Linked DNA regions of Arabidopsis thaliana. The protein of the gene in region 1 interacts with the protein of each later gene in a pairwise test. Each region holds a gene or a part of one and is shown in the gene's direction. Other genes may lie near its edges. The genes, in order: AT4G23050, AT1G67800, NAM and AFP2.

What was found.
Region 2: the proteins of AT4G23050 (region 1) and AT1G67800 interact in a two-hybrid assay, tested with the Arabidopsis thaliana proteins (one large-scale study listed by BioGRID).
Region 3: the proteins of AT4G23050 (region 1) and NAM interact in a two-hybrid assay, tested with the Arabidopsis thaliana proteins (one large-scale study listed by BioGRID).
Region 4: the proteins of AT4G23050 (region 1) and AFP2 interact in a two-hybrid assay, tested with the Arabidopsis thaliana proteins (one large-scale study listed by BioGRID).

What each region holds. Positions count from the first base shown.
Region 1 is NC_003075.7:12,078,455-12,084,788, forward strand, and holds AT4G23050 (PAS domain-containing protein tyrosine kinase family protein), read left to right. Parts: upstream 1-1,605; 5' UTR 1,606-1,657; coding exon 1,658-2,004; intron 2,005-2,195; coding exon 2,196-2,628; intron 2,629-2,737; coding exon 2,738-2,863; intron 2,864-2,966; coding exon 2,967-3,489; intron 3,490-3,616; coding exon 3,617-3,657; intron 3,658-3,746; coding exon 3,747-3,815; intron 3,816-3,907; coding exon 3,908-4,008; intron 4,009-4,133; coding exon 4,134-4,212; intron 4,213-4,303; coding exon 4,304-4,402; intron 4,403-4,488; coding exon 4,489-4,557; intron 4,558-4,653; coding exon 4,654-4,703; intron 4,704-4,809; coding exon 4,810-4,891; intron 4,892-4,967; coding exon 4,968-5,062; intron 5,063-5,157; coding exon 5,158-5,254; 3' UTR 5,255-5,802; downstream 5,803-6,334. Other genes in the region: AT4G23040 (Ubiquitin-like superfamily protein), read right to left, coding at 85-168.
Region 2 is NC_003070.9:25,420,132-25,425,268, reverse strand, and holds AT1G67800 (Copine (Calcium-dependent phospholipid-binding protein) family), read left to right. Parts: upstream 1-1,604; 5' UTR 1,605-1,971; coding exon 1,972-2,268; intron 2,269-2,369; coding exon 2,370-2,454; intron 2,455-2,527; coding exon 2,528-2,668; intron 2,669-2,751; coding exon 2,752-2,865; intron 2,866-2,953; coding exon 2,954-3,051; intron 3,052-3,173; coding exon 3,174-3,253; intron 3,254-3,330; coding exon 3,331-3,436; intron 3,437-3,543; coding exon 3,544-3,671; intron 3,672-3,763; coding exon 3,764-3,932; coding exon of another isoform or gene 3,933-3,938; exon of another isoform or gene 3,939-4,010; coding exon 4,011-4,073; intron 4,074-4,159; coding exon 4,160-4,240; 3' UTR 4,241-4,623; downstream 4,624-5,137. UniProt on the Arabidopsis thaliana protein: Together with RGLG1, mediates the ubiquitination and subsequent proteasomal degradation of the target protein PP2CA.
Region 3 is NC_003070.9:19,688,208-19,692,479, reverse strand, and holds NAM (NAC (No Apical Meristem) domain transcriptional regulator superfamily protein), read left to right. Parts: upstream 1-1,890; 5' UTR 1,891-2,049; coding exon 2,050-2,239; intron 2,240-2,336; coding exon 2,337-2,641; intron 2,642-2,727; coding exon 2,728-3,195; 3' UTR 3,196-3,772; downstream 3,773-4,272. UniProt on the Arabidopsis thaliana protein: May encode a transcription factor involved in the elaboration of shoot apical meristems (SAM).
Region 4 is NC_003070.9:4,711,738-4,715,939, forward strand, and holds AFP2 (ABI five binding protein 2), read left to right. Parts: upstream 1-1,695; 5' UTR 1,696-2,231; coding exon 2,232-2,862; exon of another isoform or gene 2,863-3,005; coding exon 3,006-3,421; 3' UTR 3,422-3,670; downstream 3,671-4,202. Other genes in the region: AT1G13730 (Nuclear transport factor 2 (NTF2) family protein with RNA binding (RRM-RBD-RNP motifs) domain-containing protein), read left to right, coding at 1-2, 89-154, 241-301, 378-595; AT1G13750 (Purple acid phosphatases superfamily protein), read right to left, coding at 3,753-4,058, 4,148-4,202. UniProt on the Arabidopsis thaliana protein: Acts as a negative regulator of abscisic acid (ABA) response during germination through the ubiquitin-mediated proteolysis of ABI5/DPBF1.

The sequences.
Region 1 (6,334 bases):
CAAAAATACTTCAATCAAAAACAAAATAACATCTAAACAATAGAAGGAAGACGGAAAAAACCCAGGGAAGTGTAATTGAATCACCTCGAGCTTACGAACGGCGACGGCATTGGAAGAGCCGGTGATGGTCATGAAGGTGTCAATAGCTTCCTGAGTAGGTGTCGCCATTAGAAAAGAGAAAGCTTGAGAGAAGTTTTTCGTCGGAGATTTGTGTTTGGAGCTGGAGTGAAGGAGGAGGCAAGAATTAATATATGTTGTAAATCACAAAAATTGCAGTGAAGAAAGGAATTGGATCGGTGACTCTTAAGATTTTTAAAGCCTTTTTTAGGGTCTTTCTTCTTTTCCATTTTTTTTAATTCTCCTTTTTTATTTGGTGTGGATTTTCTTAAACTTTATTTTCTTTATTCTTTTTGTATATTTTCGGTGATATTCAAGATATTATTTTCAGAGAACTTGAGATAATATATGGAGTGTCCTAATCTGAATAACTAAATAAATAATTATTCAGTTGAAATTGGATTTTTTTTTTCAGAGTCTTTATATTTTATAAACTGGAATTCGAGTCAAATTCAGAGTGGATTAAACTTATCTTTTTAGTTTTTACTAGCCAAGAACTTTTTGACCTTTTTTTTTAACATGATATTAATTGTTATAGTGTATATACATTAAAAGTTAGATAATTTTTAATGTACAAAAAAAAAGTTACATAATTTATTTTTTTTCACACCAATTACATATTTTATTTGTCAATTTGACAGTAAATATGGAAATAAGCCTTAAAATGTAAAGGCTTTTCGGTCCAACAACGAAAAACCAAAACCAAACCCAAAACTAAAATATCCAAAGATATCCTCACTTTATGATCATCCCAATCTTCCCTCTATATAGTGCCTTTAAAGGAGCTGTCATGTTCTCTTTCGGCCGTTTGTAATATAAGAATTGTCGTTTTTGTCCAAAAAAAAGGGTTGGCTTTCAGTTTGTGTCCCAGAAACAAAGTAAATCTTTAGATAAATTGAAACAAAACTAGCTTTGTGACTCCAATTAAACTTTGCTTCCTCTAAGAAACCTTATGGAGAGTATTATTCTACAATGATTTGAAGTATACTACTAATAATTGATTACATTTAAATTCAACTATAATTTATTGTTATTGTTCTTCAATCAACTTGAACTTTGAGTTTATTGGGCACATTACTTTTAGAGGAATGTGAATGTGAACATTGAAGAGACGTGTATTTTATTTTCTTCTTGACAAATACCGTTGGAGGTATAAAAACACCATCAAACTCAGGCCCATTTGGCAATGGCGGCAACAAGAATGGGTATTATATTGAGGTTAATTTCGTCAATCACCACTTTTAAATCGTGACAAATTCGTCTATTATCTCTCAATCTTCTTCAACCTTCAATTACATCGGCAATTCTACAAGTGGCAGCATCCTATTAGTAACAAACACACGTGGCGTAAGCTAATGCGTCGTAGTGTTTATAATAGCTGGGGTTTGTTAATTATGGCGTCACGAGTGATTTAAGAAGCAGCTGAAAAATAATAAACAATGAGGGAATGCCAACGTTTTAAATTATATTTTTAATTTGTGAATTTTCATCAGAGTCGGATCTTGATGCGACTGCTCAAACAGAGTCACCGGCGATTACGATGGCCGGAAACAACTCGGAATCGAGTCTCTACCAGGTTTTGGTGGAGTGGTGTCAGAGGATGGAGACGAGTCAAGCGAGACTAAGGGAGGATGTTGATGACTTATTGCTTCAGGAGGAGAGTCGAACCGGTAAGGAATCGGCGACGGGATTGGAGACGGACACGGAGAAAGAGGCTGAGGTAGAGGTGGAAGCGGAGGCGGCGGATTCCTGGGATAATCCGACGGCGACTTGGGAGAGAGCTGTTTCAGGATTCTATTTCGCTGATAGTGCGTATCGGACTTTGATGGATTCAATGGGACACGCGATTCATGTAACATCAGCTGCGTCTGGAGAAATTACATTCTGGTGAGCTTGATAAGTTCTTCTTCTTCATCTATGGTGTTTGTAGATCAGGAGCTTATAGTTCTTCTAAGTACTGTTTCATTGAATTGTGTGTTTAAGTAGTTAAACAAAGTTATATATAGCGATTCATTGTATATGCAAGTGGACATTTACTATTTGTTTCTGAGTGGAGAGATTCTTTTATTATTATTCAGGAGTCGTTCTGCTGAGAATCTGTACCATTGGTATGCTGAGGAAGTTGTTGGCTACAGAACTATTGATGTGCTTGTAACCGAAGAATACCGTAATTCCCTTACTGGTATCAGGAATAGGGTGTGCCGTGGAGAGACTTGGACTGGTCAGTTTCCGTTTCAGAAGAAAACTGGTGAACTATTTATGGCTTTGGTGACTAAAAGCCCTGTGTATGAAAACGGTGAGCTGGTTGGTGTTGTTACTGTCTCGAGCGATGCAACCCTTTTCAATAGGATGCATCCACTAAGTAATGAGCATCAACAACAAGCTCGTAGTAATAATAGACATGAATCAAACTTGAGAAAACATCAGTGGCACCTCCCGAGGCCTCAGATCGCTGCAGCATCACAGGTTCCAGTTGTCCCACAATATTCATCAGCTGTTGCTTCAAACCTGGTAGATCTCACATCATGAATGTTCGAAGTTTCTCAGTACTTTTTTTTATATAATAATTCGTGTGCAACATGAATGATTGTTTGTTTTGCTGTTTTCTGCACAAACCAAGAAGGCGTCGAAGCTTCTACCACAGAGAAATGGAGATGATTCCTTCAATGGAAATCATAATTCGAGGAGCCGAGATGAAAATGTTCCGGTTGTTGCCTCCACAACTTTCGAGAAGTATGGCTCACTGGTAAGTCTTCGTTGGCTCCTTAAACAAGACACTTCTCATTGACATTTCTTAGAACGATTATTGTCTCATGTTATAAGCTAAATCTGCATATACACTAGTGTAGGCGGATAAGTTTTTGGGGAAGCTGCAAAGGAAGATTACTGGCAGCCAAGGAACCGAAGATAATGAGCCTATCTTAAGAAACGGTATCAATAAGTCAGCATGTGGCAGTGGAGGTAGTTCTAAGGCTTCTAATGCAGTTACCTGCACGGCTTTCAGAGACAATGGCAATGGAAAACCAAAAAGGGCTGAAGTTAGAATTTCAGATGTCTATGGAAATGGAGCTGAGGGTTTGATACATAATGGAGATCGCTTTCAGTATATTGGGAACCTGGGACAAAGTAAACCTCCCAGAGGACTAGAGAGTGGTTTGGTGTCTGGCATGCGGGGAACAAAAATGTCGGACCTAAATGGTGAGATAGAAGATGCTTGGAATACTCGTCTTAGTGTTGATCCCTTGCCAATTCTAGGAGTCAACAGCGGTAGGCAACAAAGTCCTGTCAACCAAAGGAATAATAGATTAGTTACTGATTCGTCATGTGAGATACGATGGGAAGATCTACAACTTGGGGAGGAGGTCGGAAGAGGTGTATTTCATTTACCAAAGTCTTACACTCGTTTTCACGTTTTAGATATGCAAATTCAATTCAGATCTGTGTCATTGCTGTTTAAATCAGATTACAAGTATTTCTGATGCGTTACATTTTCTCACAGGTTCATTTGCTGCGGTTCATCGTGGAGTTTGGAATGGATCGGTGAGTTTTCTGTAATTTAAGATAAAATAAGGATGATTCTAGTATTAGTTGCACATGGATAACTAACTAGTCCAATCTATTTGGACCAGGATGTTGCTATTAAGGTTTACTTCGATGGTGATTACAATGCGATGACTTTGACGGAGTGCAAAAAGGAGGTATGTATAATTAGTTCTCTCTGTTATGAATTGTTTCTAGAAGTTACTCGTACCAGACAAAATAAATCAGTTTTGATCAATAATATCTTCAGATCAACATTATGAAGAAACTGAGACATCCGAATGTGCTACTATTTATGGGAGCAGTATGTACAGAAGAAAAATCTGCCATAATCATGGAATATATGCCAAGGTGAGATTATTGACGTATGGATCTGGAAGTAGTGTTACTCCTTATCGAGTGTGTTATATTATGCTGCAAGAAATTGCAGATGAATACTCTGTGCTAAGTTATTTCTATACGGTTTTGATGATTAGAGGGAGTCTCTTCAAAATACTTCATAATACGAATCAGCCATTGGACAAGAAACGCCGTTTAAGAATGGCCCTTGATGTTGTAAGACTCTGATCTTCCAAAAACCTCCCTCACAATGAAAGAAAAAAATATGAAAGGCTGATTATATTCGGGTTCTCTGTTGTTGTTGCAGGCTAGGGGAATGAATTACTTACACCGCAGAAATCCGCCAATTGTACATAGAGACTTGAAATCTTCCAATCTACTCGTGGACAAGAACTGGAATGTCAAGGTACAAACAGTTTTCTCAAGTTACATTTATGAAGACTTGTAAAATGAGTTTACTATTGCATGGACTTTCAACTCTTTCTTCCCTAGGTTGGAGACTTTGGGTTATCAAAGTGGAAGAACGCAACCTTCTTGAGTACTAAATCCGGGAAAGGAACTGTAATGTTTAACAAAAGCCATTTCTGATTCTTTTAATCCACAAAACAGTCTTGGATTTCTGTTACTAAACATTGTTCAACTTTTTTCTATGTGCAGCCGCAGTGGATGGCTCCTGAAGTTCTCAGAAGTGAACCTTCGAATGAGAAGTACGTTGGATATAATATTAACCCTTTTTTGTTCTCTTTTCGAAGACATTATTCAATAACTTGAACATTTTTTTGGACTAAAAGCTCAATGCTTTCGTTGTAATAGGTGTGATGTGTTCAGCTTTGGAGTCATCTTATGGGAGCTAATGACTACGTTAGTACCATGGGACCGTTTGAACTCTATTCAGGTACCTCTCAAATTCTGTTCTTATGAGATTATAGCTTGATCATAAGATTGTAGTAATCTTAGCAACTTTAAATTAGGTTGTTGGAGTTGTTGGTTTCATGGATCGACGATTAGACTTACCTGAAGGATTAAATCCCCGGATCGCATCCATAATACAGGATTGTTGGCAAACGTAAGAAGACGCATCTGTAAATTGTTTCATCAAATACACCCTACAAACTTAGGGGCGATTTTTCTTATATTCTTTGTTCTAAATTGTTGAAACAGTGATCCAGCAAAACGACCGTCGTTCGAGGAATTAATTAGTCAGATGATGAGCCTGTTCCGCAAACCAGGGTCAGGTGCGCAAGAAGAAGACGATTGAGAAGGTAAACAGTACATGGTTAAAGGATAGTTCACAAAGCAAAGGACGTGAAAAGAAAACGAAAGCATCGTCCTGATCACTTACTATACAAATGTTTCATTGTGTTATACCAAACTACTATTTATGTTTTCATTGAAAGAAAGAAAGCAAAAATAGCTAAATCAAAGTAATATACAGTAGAATCTTAGGTTAGTTTAGTTAAACTATGCATTATATAAACTGTTGTCGGTTTATGAGCTAAGTTGTAAAATGGGATCTAAAAAGGCAGAGGCGCAGAGGCCAGAGGAGGACTCAGATGTAATTTAAGAAGTAAAAGGGTGAAAAAGAGAAATACGAGAAAAACTGTGAGATTGATGGTGTCTTGTAGTGAATTGTAATGTAGTTGGTTTTGGTTTGATGGGGTAAGAGAAGGAGGAGTGACAATTCGTAGGCATTGCTTCTTTTGCTTTAATATTCTCTTATTACAGCTTCCCATCACTGCGTCGTCTGTAGCTTCTCAGCACCTAATTATAAGAGAGAGTCAGAACCCTAAATAAAACTTTTTTTTCAATCCTTATTCGTAATTCCACATTACAGCATCTTGAAATTGACGCAGTCACAAAAGCATAATTAAAAAAAAAAGGATACAAAGATGGGTCTATTATACCGAGTATGTATTGTGCATGCATGTGACGTGGGTGAAGGGAACTTCTCTTATAGAAGTATTGAAAAAGGAGAAATTTTGGGGGATTGAAAATATTTGTCTGTTTGTCTGGTTAGGTCAGAACAAATCACATCGAGCTGCATAGTAATATTTCGTTTACAACACATGGTTGTGACCTCTAGACAAATAAACTTTTTAACAGTTTTCGCTGTTTTGCCTTGCATGTATTTCGTAGTATTTCAATTTATATGTAACTATATTTCAATTGAAACATCTTTACCATATTATTTTCTTTTTTGATGCCAATTTCTTTACCATGTGTTTGCTCTTGTGTTATTTATGTGTGATTGATTGATTGACCGTGTCGATTACCCAAGCGGAATCTTGTAAAGGGATACTCCGTCACCGTAATACAGTGACAGCATATTTAATTTAAA
Region 2 (5,137 bases), on another chromosome or scaffold:
TTAGATCACTTAAAATAGTAGATAATAAACTAAGAAGATTCCATTATGTATATGGAAAATTCCAAATAACATTATTTAACTATCCCCTTCATCTCCAAAGGCTCCACAGTCAAGGATTGCATTATAGCTGTAAACGGGCTAGTGATCTATCACAACAACAAGTTGAAGACACTACTGGCCACGCTCAACAAAGAGACCAAGGATTCGACTTTCATGTTCATTGATTACTACAACGCCTTCTTGACCGTTTTCAAGAACAATGGAGAGACTCCAGTTAAGAAAAAGTAAAACACAACATTCTTGAAATCCATATTTTCAAGGCTTTTATATATTGTGTGATTGGTTATGGAAATGTAGGGAGTACGCGGTTTAAAACTCCGTTGAAAGAATGTTGAGGAGGTGTTTGTGGGGTTGTGGACGAGAAAGGTCAGAAGAACTATACCTTATGCGATGATCCTAAGTCTACTTTCTTCTGGGATGTACTTCACCCTACTCAGGCAGGATGGAGCTCGGTTTACGCGGTTTTAGGCAAAAATCTAACTGCATCTTTGATGAAAGCGTAAATCCACTTATCGTGATCAAAGAACCGAAATGGGTTCGAGATTAACAAAATTCTTCTTCTGTAGTTCGGTGTGTTTTTCTTCTCTTATATCTTTGTTATCTCTCCCTCTTCTTTCGTTTGTGCTTGCAAGTCTTTGTGCCTCTATCTATGTATTGTGTGTTATAGAATAAAAATGTGAACTTTAAGAAAAGTAAAATATTGAAATAAAACACTTTTTGTATCATGCTCTGTCACACACTGTTTCTACTTAACATTTACATCTATGATGTTATCATTAACTCAAAAAAACGTAACTAAGAAAACAGAGATATGTGGTGACAATACAATGTGTTAAATAACATATAATGAGAAGTTAACACATTGTATTGATTTATATCATTATATGTTTAACAATAAAATAAAGATATAAGTGTTTATCAACTTTTCATGTCTAAATTTCTTAAGGTTCATAGCTTGGGTTATTTGGTTGTGGAGTTGCTGTTCAACTTTTCTTGTTGGATGATAGTATATAACTTAATAGTAATATATTGAACTGTATCTAGCATTTAGTCAAATCTTTTATGCAGGGGAAGATAAAATTTTAACAAAAACAAAGGAAAATGTGATAATTTATCTTTTGCAAGAAAATAATAAATATAAATAAATTATTGAAAATCATGTAAGAAATAAAATAATATTTCTACTGTATATTTCAATTTCGTTTTTCCATATCTTCAAGAAATCTTAATTTATTTAAAAAATATATATTTATAAAATTAATAAATTAAGTATAAAAATATGCATAGATTTTTTTGGTAGGATAAAAATATGCATAGATTGTAATTGTAAAATTTTATTTTAATTTTTTTCTTATGGTATATGATCCCCCAAAAATTTAATTATCAAACTAAAATTTTAATTACTATAAGTTTACTTCCCTTATTTTTTGTTTTGTTTTTGTGAAATGGATACGTATATAAACGTCACAATTGGTGAATTAAAAAAATCAACTTCACAAGAGATCCTTGGGCTGATTCGATTACAGGTAACGTCTCTCTCTCTCTGTGACTCTCTCAATTAGTTTGAACCAGTCAACTCGTAAAGCCCTTGTTTCCTGTAATTTTCCGAATTGGGTCTTCCCTTAATTTATCATTTCTCGCCGGAAAAACTTTGAGAATTTCCTTGTATTTCACGGCGATGCTATAATCCTCCTGAAAGCGACTTACTGATATATATTAGTTTATTAGGCAATGAATGTGAAATTTACCGAGTCAAACGTGTTTAAACAATGTAAAAGGTGAAGACTTTGATGAAAAAATCCAAACTTTGGATCTGTTTCAGAGTCAATAAGCTCTCTCATATTTATATATGCGTGTTTGATTTTGATAAGAAGGGAACTTTGTTGTTGGCTTAATCTGATTTTTTGACATATGCTTGAAGTGTTGCAGGCGATTGTTTTGTTTATCTTGTTTTGGGTTTGGTTGTCTTGGATGGGAGGAAGTAGCTCTAAAGAGTCACCTAGAGGAGGTGGAAGTGGTCGTAGGTATGAACGTAGTGTGTCTGGGAGCTCATCTTATTCGTCTGCTTGGGACCAGAGCAGCTATTATCAGACACCAAACCATCCATCTGCGTCTCCTGTTTCATCCTATAATTCTGGGAGACAAACACCGAAGAATCTTGAGAGGAAGTATTCACGGATTGCTGATAACTACCGTTCCATTGATGAGGTTTGATGATCACTCTTGTTTTTGTTTGTTTGTCTCTTAGGTCGTTGTGTCGGTTTGTGAATCTCTCTATTGGTGTTTTGTTGATATTTCTTTTCTTTTAGGTTACCGCTGCTCTTTCACATGCCGGTTTGGAGTCCTCGAATCTCATTGTTGGTATAGATGTCACCAAGAGCAACGAGTGGACAGGTTAGAGAATTTATCTCAATGTTTTAGTATATGTTTCTTTGACCTGGAAGCTGACTTGGGTGATTTGATTTAGGGGCGAGATCATTTGGTAGGAAGAGTCTGCATTTCATTGGAACTACTCCAAACCCTTATCAACAAGCTATTTCCATCATTGGAAAGACTTTATCGGTTTTTGATGAGGATAATTTGATCCCCTGTTATGGATTTGGAGATGGTACAAACCCTGATTGTTTTTATGTAGCTGTTAAGTTCCTGTCTAGAATAGATTTTAAGGTTGGTTTCTCTTTGACTATGCAGCTACAACTCATGATCAGGATGTCTTCAGTTTCAATCCCAATGATACATATTGTAACGGGTTTGAAGAAGTTCTCATGTGTTACAGAGAGATTGTTCCCCAGCTTCGTCTCTCAGGTTGAGTGAGATGAATAATCCCTTTTCTTCTGCATGTCTTCTGAATCTTGCTGTACTTTTTCCTTATAGTTTGCTGCTTCTCTTACAGGTCCGACATCTTTTGCACCTATCATCGAAAGGGCCATGACAATTGTGGAAGAAAGTGGTGGCCAGTACCATGTTCTTCTCATTATCGCTGATGGACAGGTAAAGATTGGAACCTAATTCGACTAGAGAAAGTATTTCTTGTATCTATTTGTGTTTAGTTATAATCATTCCCAGACATTTGTGTACTGTATAGTTACCATTGGAGCTTTTAACTATGACAGGTGACAAGAAGTGTTGATACAGATAACGGTGGATTCAGTCCACAAGAGCAGCAGACTATTGATGCCATTGTTAGAGCAAGGTAATAAATACTATTTCCTTTGACGAAAATCCAATTTCAAACTGTGTCTCTCTAACTTGTGGTGGATTCTGTTGCAGTGAATATCCTTTGTCTATAGTTCTTGTTGGTGTTGGAGATGGTCCCTGGGACACCATGAGACAGTTTGATGACAACATCCCCGCTCGTGCCTTTGACAATTTCCAGGTAATAATATCAACATGTTTCTACAATAGTGTAGATAGATCCCTTGTCTTTTTCCTGGCAAATGTATCAATTTCAAAGGTTTTTGTTGTCTATTTGAATCCTTTCAGTTTGTGAATTTCACGGATATAATGTCAAAGAACATTGATCCAGCAAGAAAAGAGGCAGAATTCGCGCTTTCTGCCTTGATGGAGATCCCGTCTCAGTATAAAGCCACCCTCGAACTAGGCTTACTTGGGTAAGTAAATTCAGATATTTGAGTTCATCACTGCAGCATTTATGAATTGATCTCAATAACCGCCAATTTCGTTCCTTGTTTCGAATTTGCAGACAAAGAACCGGACATTGTCCAGACAGGATTGCGCTTCCACCACCAACTTATGCTACTCAATCTATGCGCAACAGCCCAAGAACTTCCCGATCAACCAGTTTTCAAAACAAACCATATGATAATGGTGTTTCCTCTACACCACCTTCAACTACTCATAACGAGAGCCAGGTATGATTTACAAAGAAAGAAACAACAATGCATTGATAATCTTTTGCTGCTCGTCACATCTTTTTGTTGGATAAACAGCAACAGTTTTGCCCCGTATGTCTAGTGAGTGCAAAGAACATGGCTTTCAATTGTGGTCATCAGGTGCATTTCCACTCCCGAGTTACCTAAGCATCGCACTTGAATCAAAATCGTTAACTTTCCTTTGTTTTTCTTATTTTGCTCATCAGACTTGCGCTGGATGTGGGGAAGACCTCCATGTGTGTCCCATTTGCCGGAGCTCAATCTCGGTTCGTATCAAGCTTTATTAAGATAAGTCTCTCAAGAACTGAAGGAACCCGAGGTGGTCTGAGATCTTTCACAGCCAACACCATCCCAACTTAGATCTCATTTACCAGTGTCCTAACATTTGTTTTTACTTTGAGGGGAATAACCGGTTCCTCTCAAAGGTTTTGTAGATAATCTGTTGTCAATTTTGCATTCTCATTGCACATGAAAAAACCACAGCAGACTCTCTCGTGAATAAAGGATCCTTTCTCTGCGGTTACACATTTTTACTTAAAAGAATTTGAATCTTGAATGGTCCTATGACATATGTATCAAACAACACACTACTATATACCTTTCTTGTTTGAAACATCTAGTCTTCAACACAGTAGCCCAGATGGTCCTGCTTTAACTTCCATAATTGACATCTTATGGGGTCGTATCTATTCTCTGTCGTTAAAGATTCATAATTGATGTAACTGTCAACGAAAGATGGCAAAAACACAAAGGCTATTATAGGTTTCTATCAAACTGATCACTTTTTACTGTAAGAATATATGCGATATACTTTTCTTGGTCTTCTTCCCTCAGTAATGAACAAGATCCCAATCTGAGTCTGCTATTCTTTCTTACTCTTCCACAAGTTTGTATTAGTTTTACGTATATGCGGTTAAGCAGTCCGGGCGGTGATCCTCTCCATTCATTCATTTGCTTACCCAGAATAAATCTAGTGTGTGTCTTTCATCACGAAAAGTATTACCACAGTGATAAGATGTGTAGATTTTCAAATCTGAAAAAGAGATAAAGCTATGTTTCAAGTCTTTGAATAAGATTCCAGTCATATTGCTCAACAATCTTTAGTTTCAGGGACCCTACTAATATTTTTATCACGCAAACCAAAGAGACAAAGCTGTTTTGTGTTTAGTAAATACATATTCAAA
Region 3 (4,272 bases), on another chromosome or scaffold:
TTATTTGCACTAAGTCAAAGTTTAGTTTTTTTTACTTTTTAGTGACGAAAAAAAGTTCATAAGATCCGTTCATTGCCACCCTCAAATAATCCTTTCATTATCTCTTTATCTATTTGTATAGAAAATTAGTTTGTGAGAAAAACGCATCAGGTCTGATATATATATATAAACCAACGATTAAAGGTTTAAGAAATAATAAAAATTAGAGTGTGAAAATAATAAAATTTCGCATTACTCAAACAGTTGGTAATTCTTGCTTATATTGTTATGTAACTCATAACCAAAAATAGATATATTAAATAATATATTGTTATATATTAATTATCAAGATAATTAATTAATTTTTTGTTAATTGATGAATTTCTTTATAAAATTCCAATGGTCACAAAATACAAAGGGAATACAAAAGCGTGATATGACATTTGAAACGTAAAAAAGCTTTTTTGAATTTTCACTTTGTTGCCTTGTGTGGCACTTAAGCGGGTCCCATTTTACAGCTTGCCACGTGTCGACGTAATGTACTCAGAATAACACGGTACTATTGGAAGCATGCACCTTCAGTTATTTGTCCACACATGATAATCAAAAAAAAAAAGTGATACGTAGAAGTTTTTGCATTGGTAAAAAATATTTTAATTTATATTCTGTTTTCATTAAATTTTAAATTATTCTATTTTAAAGTATTTGTTTAACCGTTAAAAGGTAAAACTATATAGTATACCACTTAAGTTTAGGGATGATGAAAAAAACTACCACGTAAAACAATAATAAATCGGTTGGTTGAAACCTTGCAAGTTCCATGTAAATTTATTAAAGTATATATTATTTTAAAAATATTTTATAGATAAAAAAACTAAATTAATAGTGCCGTGCACTTTTCTTATATGATTTTTGTTATTATAATTTTTTTTAATTTTTTTATTATAACTTACTATAGAGACAAAAATATATATATGCTTATTGGATGAAAACAATCGCTATCGTTGTTAATGGTCGCTCGTGTCAAGCCACACTTTGAGCCTATATGAACACAGACGATAATGCATGGTTAAAGAGGTTAAGAAAGTCATTATCGACTCCGAAATCACTATTTTACCCTCCTTTGCCTTGGTTAGTATCGTAATTTAAAAAGATTCGACATGATTAGTCAGACTTTGTATATGTGTCGAATTGTCGCCACTCTTTATCTCCTTTTAGTACAAACCAAACCACACTAAACTCGGCTGAATTATGGGAGATTATGTATTATTATTGATTGCCAACAAATTCTAATATTCCGGGTCTAAAATAATAAAATATTATTTTTTGGGGTACAATTGTTAATTACAAACACTAATCTGAGATTAACAGTATTTTGTAGGTCAAACAAACTTTACAAAAAACAAATGGTTTTATCATCTTATGAATTGAAATCTACAGAAGATGAAAGATAAACTACGATTTAATTCTAGCTAAGTACATATAGATCAAATTAATTAGTGAAAAGGATCAACAAAGCAAATTAAATGTACTCTCTCATGATTCACGAAGATAAGATAGCATCATCTATTTTAATTTGAAATCAATGATAGAAATCTCTTTACCTACACCTTCCTACACATATGGGTCAAAACGTTTTTTTTTTGGTATGACATTTTATTCCTTTTTCCTGTTGCTAATCTACATATATAACTACATAGCGTACAGCTATACATATTAAATATATTAGATCTCTACAATAGGTTAAACTGTAACACAAACTATTGATTTAGATAGCTACGGTAATTAATACGTTTTGATCGTCCATATTCCACAAATATAAATAGAAATACCATTTGATGTGTAACAAAAAAATCTCATAGACATTTATGGTTTTAATACAAAAAAAATTCTCAAAAATTGTAAATAAATACGAGTGGATACGATGGTCTACGTACAAAAGATTCCAGAGGATAAAAGCCATTTTGATTTGTCGTTTTAATGCCTTCCATTTTTAAAAAGAAAGATTACTAACGCCGACTCTCTAAAACTCTCTCAAACCATAAAAAATATTCTCCGATCATCATTTTAATGGAGAGTACAGATTCTTCCGGTGGTCCTCCGCCGCCGCAACCAAACCTCCCTCCAGGATTCCGGTTTCATCCAACAGACGAAGAACTTGTAATTCATTACCTCAAACGCAAAGCAGATTCTGTTCCTTTACCAGTCGCGATCATCGCCGACGTTGATCTTTACAAATTTGATCCATGGGAACTTCCCGGTAAGTTGAAACAAGACCAAGATCATAATCCGATCAGATCTGTTTCATTTTTTTTTTTACTGATTTTTGTTTTTTTTTGTGTTCTTGATTGTGACAGCGAAAGCTTCGTTTGGAGAACAAGAATGGTATTTTTTCAGTCCAAGAGATCGGAAATATCCCAACGGAGCTAGACCTAACCGAGCTGCGACTTCCGGTTATTGGAAAGCGACTGGTACAGATAAACCGGTGATTTCAACCGGCGGTGGTGGTAGTAAAAAAGTGGGAGTTAAAAAGGCTCTAGTGTTTTACAGTGGTAAACCACCAAAAGGAGTTAAATCAGATTGGATTATGCATGAATATCGGTTAACTGATAATAAACCTACTCATATTTGTGACTTCGGCAACAAGAAAAACTCTCTCAGGGTATATTATTATAATATTCTTAAAATCTTGATTTTAAAAGAAAAGTTTTGATTGGCTAATTTTTGATTCTTTTTATTACTATGTAGCTTGATGATTGGGTGTTGTGTCGTATCTACAAGAAAAACAATAGTACAGCATCTAGACATCATCATCATCTTCATCATATTCATCTAGATAATGATCATCATCGTCATGATATGATGATTGATGATGATCGATTCCGTCATGTTCCTCCTGGTCTTCACTTCCCGGCGATTTTTTCTGACAATAATGATCCGACGGCTATATATGATGGTGGCGGCGGCGGATACGGAGGTGGAAGTTACTCGATGAATCATTGTTTCGCATCTGGATCAAAGCAGGAGCAGTTGTTTCCACCGGTGATGATGATGACTAGTCTAAATCAAGATTCCGGTATTGGATCGTCGTCGTCACCTAGCAAGAGATTTAACGGCGGCGGCGTTGGAGATTGTTCGACTTCTATGGCGGCGACGCCGTTAATGCAGAACCAAGGTGGGATTTACCAATTGCCTGGTTTGAATTGGTATTCTTGAAAACAATTTACGATGAAGAATTTTTAAAATTTGTGTATATATATACGGTTTGAGTGATTAGGGGGCATTGGGGGATTTATTTACGGTTGATTATTATTGTAGTGTTATAGAACTAAGGAGATTAAATTAAATAGATTGGAGGAGAGGTATAAGGTAACATATAGAAATTATACAACAATAGTTTAAATATTCTTTTCTTTTCTTTTTCATGTTATTATTTTTACTAATGTATAGGTGATGATTATACTTAGATGTTTGTAGCTTGTATAAATTAATGCATGCATATATATAAAAATATATTAACAGTTATAGAAACTAGATTACCCTTGTGCTTTTCTTCAGCTATTTATTTTCAGTACTATCAGCTTCAACATTCGCATGTTTTGCTGCAAATTTTATTTTTTAAAAACATGATTTTAAAGTGACATCAGAAATACTATTTGGTAGAAGACCCTAACTTATAAGAAACAGACGATAATGAAACTATCTGGCGGAGCTTTTATTTGACTTTGTCGAAAACATGTTCGGAACCAAATCTTGGCAATCAAAATAAGTGGAGATAAAAGATACGACAAAGGGCCTTCAAATCTGGTTTGAATCAATAGTTTTAAACTGAAAAGTTTTAATCTTTTTGTTAGATCAAACAAATGTTGCACTTGTTGTAAAAACAATGTTCAAAAAATAAATATGATGTTCATAATTAAATTCGAATCGAATACATGTAATGGACATCTTTAATCATTTTTTTTTTCTTTTCTTTTCATAATGATAAATACAAATTTGATGCTGAGTAGAATAATAAAAAACACAATATTACGTTTATATTAAACAAAAAAAGGCATACATATCCATCTCTTTATATTATATTTATACCATCCTTAACCAAATTTGATTTCCAAGAAAAGAGAAGCTATTCCCATGGCAAGTAATGAAGTTCAAGCTAATCAACTCGAAAGGCAGAATGCTACTGTCAGCGATGTGTTAGCCGATCCTCTATGCACATGTTGGTGAGTTCATAACACAATTTAATTACTAGTTTCCAAAATTTAGTGTCTCTCTAATATATATGTTCTTCTT
Region 4 (4,202 bases), on another chromosome or scaffold:
GGGTGAGTTGTTTATTGAATGGATCTTTTGAAGAAACTTGTTTCACAGCCAATTTTTTTGAAATCCTCATTAAGTTTTTCTTTTGCAGCTCAAGGGAAACTGTTTTGGCTTTGTGACATTCGCATCTGCTGAAGCTGTGAAATTGGTCCTCCAGGTATGTTTCAACATCAACGATATTTCTTACAAACTTTTTGGTTATAAACTGGATTCTTCTTTTGATGTTCTACTACACAACTCTAGGCTCACAAAGAATCAGCCATCAGAATCGGAAACCGAAGAGTTTCAATAGAAGAGAAACGAGGTAAGTCAAAGTAAAGTTTAGTACTAATGTCTCCAACTTCAGGGTAGAAAAACTGAAACCATTGGTTCCGTTGCAGGCAACAACGATAATGGAAGACCCGCAATGCGAAACGGAGGTTATAGGAACGACAACGGTTACAGAAACGATGGGTATAGGCCTCGAGGCAACGGTTCCAATGGAGGTCGAGGCTATGGAAGAAATGGATCTGAGAGACGGGGTGAATCACGCAATGGTGAGGCTCACAATGGTGATGGCAAAGTTCATCAGAACGGTACGGTAGAAGCTAGCCGTTAAAATACTCAATCCAGAGGCTAAACAAGTTTGAAGTCATTTGTTAAACTCTGTTGTGTTATTGTTGTTCATTTGAAATTGAGGTTTTATAGGAAGAGATAGTGAGAGGGAGAGAGAGAGATTAGAAGTTCTTTTGGAGTAGGTTTATCTCTTAGGTGATAATCCCTTCTTTGAGATTTTGTTTGGGATAACAAAAATTTGATGATTACTTTTACCTTCCATTCTGAATCATCTTCATTTGGTCCGGTTTACACATAACCAAAATTAATCGGAAGTTCGTTGTCAATTGATTGAGACATCTTTTAGGACCAAACCGAATAAAATATTTTCTAGTGAAAAAAACAAATGGGCAACGAACCCTTAAACTTATGGGCTTGATGTGAATGGTGTTGGTCTTCAAACGACGACGTATTGTAGTATTCTCTAAGTTTGCATTATTACACAAACCAACAGGTGACGAACACGTAGCATTTTTGGTTTTTATGGTGTAAAGATCTTGACGTCCCCACTTGACTCAACAAAGTGACCCACCAAGGATTCTAAAAATCTTCTTTTCGATTTATAGATTTCATTCTCAAACCTAACTGTCACTGAATCAATAATAATCAGACTTTTTCACTAAGTTATATTGCTCATTATGCTAATCTAAACTCTTCTCCATCAAACGATTAGTCGCCAATAATCAAACTTTACCTTGTTAATTACTTTATATTATCATTGTTAAGTCTTTTAGTTTATATACTATGGTTTATTGATGATTGCCTTTGTGTAGTAGTAGTATTCAATTACTTTTACATGGAAGTGTTTTTATTCTCCCTTCACTTTTTCACAAGCAACTTGCTTGCTTCGTGGGTCCTTTGGTCTAACCCACGTGAGTGACGTTGTCGAGTCGCTAGATTTATCATATTCAAATTATGTTGTTGTTAACTCTCCCAATATAAATAAGATTACAAGAGATTGTAAAATTATAAATCAACGATACCATAAGTAATCACTAATCAGGTCTGTCATTTTCTTACTCTCTATATACGTTTATGTCTGATTTTGTTAATTTTTGAGGTAATATTTTTTTTTTTCGAGTTTGAGATTTTTTTTTTTCTCTTTTACAAAAACTTGTGCAAAAAAATTAAAAAGAAAAGGGGAAAAAGGAGAAAACGGATCTTTTTACTTGGGAGACACGTGTCGTGACACTGGATAACTCAGTCACTTTACGACACGTTTCTTGAAGCAGCACTATGGAACGCCGACGTAATCCACCGGCCACGTGTCGTTCAGGCAGCTCTCTCGGCGGCCACTTGCCTCCTCTCAGTCAAGGCCTGTCTCTCTTTCTTTCTTTCTTTCTTCTTCTCTCTCTTTTCCTCTAATGTCCAAAAGGGTCTTCTTCTTTGTCTCTGCTCTTCACTTTCAATTATAACCTCTTCGTCTTCTTCGCCGTCTCTGGTATTAACTCCGGCGAGTTTTTTTTTTTTTTTTACTTTGATATGAATTTGCGAGATTTACTGTTTAATTCATGATGACAATTTTGGATTTTTGATCGGATGTGAAATTCAGAGTTTTTCATTCTTCTTCATCATCTTATAACAAAGAAGAAACAAAACAAAAAACTTTTTTTTTCTTTCTTTCTATTGTTTCGGAATCTATGGGTGAAGCAAGCAGACAACAAAGGGCATGGAACAGAGAAATGACGGTTACGACAAATCTTTCTCTAGACATAGATAAATACCCGAGAGATCTGTTACGAGGTTTCATGTCTGAAAACGGCGGTGGAAGAGTCTTTCACGGCGGAGAAACAAACTGCGATGATGAGAGTACGATTGAGCTCAATCTTGGTTTGTCTTTAGGTGGTAGATTCGGAGTAGACAAGACTCCGAGGAAGCTGAAACGATCTTCTTCTGTTTTGGACACTGTACCATTCAACGATTCAACTGTGGCTGAGCCTGAGAATTACACGGTGGGTTTAGAGAGAACGACGTCGTTACCGGCGGAGATGGAAGAGGAATGGAGGAAAAGGAAAGAGATGCAATCGCTTAGGAGAATGGAAGCTAAGAGAAGGAGATGTGAGAAACAGAGTTTCAGAGTTGGGAATTCTGATGACCAAACGGTGTCGTTTGAGAATGAGAGATGGGTTACTGCGAGTAAAAGTGGCTTCTTGCAGAGACATTTGGTTTCTTCTAATAGACAAGTCTGTGGTGTTGATTCCGATGGAGGAGGAGCAACGGGAGGAGGTAGTTCATCGAGCTTGTCGGAGCTAGACAACAAAAATCAGCAAGGTAGATTTCAATACATTGTTGGTTTTTAGACACAAGATTAGTAACACTAAAATGTAAAATTGGATATTTGTCATTGAACCTGTGGAATTGTAGAATGAGTGAATGTATTCAGTGGAAGAGTGATCTGAGTCTATGTGTTGTAGGATCATCAAACAGCTGCAATGATGAAAGAAGCCCGAAAATCGTGGCAGGATGTTCATCGAACAGCGGAAGCCAGGGAACAGAGAGACCGAGTGTGACTAGAGCCAACAAAGTGAATGAGAATGAGAATGAAAAAAGAGTGAGAAGTGAAGACTCGGTGGATAGGAAAGGAAAAGGGATGGCTACGTCTACTGGTTTGGTTGATATGCCTTGTGTGTTTACTAAAGGGGACGGGCCAAACGGAAGACGGGTTGATGGGATTCTGTACAAGTATGGAAAAGGAGAGGAAGTGAGGATAATGTGCATTTGCCATGGTAGTTTCTTGACACCAGCTGAGTTTGTTAAACATGGTGGTGGTGGAGATGTGGATCGTCCTCTTCGGCATATCGTTGTCAACACCTCTTCTTCGACCTTTTAAATCGAAGAATCGGTGAAGAAACCGGAAGGGTCTTGTGTTCTCTGTTTCATTTTTTTTCTTGTTGTTTTATCTTTTGGATCTCTCTGGTTTTTGGCTATAAAAATGAATGCCAAAACCTCAAATCTTGATGAAGATCAAGATTCTCATGTTGTCTTAGGTCTAATACTTGTGAACATGAAAGTATCATCATCGAATGATTCTTTCTCGAGCTCTCGCGTTTAATATAAGTCCTCTCTGCAAAGTGCGTATAATTGATGTGTAAACATTATAACAGTTTAACAATGAAGAGGGAACAAGTGAGTACAGAAGAGCTCAAGCAGTTGAAAAGTTTTTATGAAGCAAGTGTAGTTGCAGGACAACTATCAACCGCACAAGCCAAGATGTCTCTGTAATCTTTTGATATCGTGAAAGAATCGTGGACTCGTCCGTCACTGCTCTTCTTGTACTCAAACAGAAGGTTTGAGTGATCAATGGCTGTAAGTTTAAGGAATCCGTAATCATAGTCTCTGAACAGACTCCAATTCGGTTGAAGATCAGAGAATTCAGCAAGACCAGCTCCTCCACCTCCAGCAACAATGTGAATGGTTCCATTCAATGGAGCTTTGTAGTTACTCTTCTCATGACTCGTGCATACACTCTACAGACAAGAAACGAAACAAACAATGGAATAATTCCCTTTTCTTAAGAACCATTCTTCGATATGCCAGTACAGTACATGATGTTTACCTGGTAAACCGGGCATGTTCTCTCGTAGTTATGTGCATGGCCATAGATAGCAATG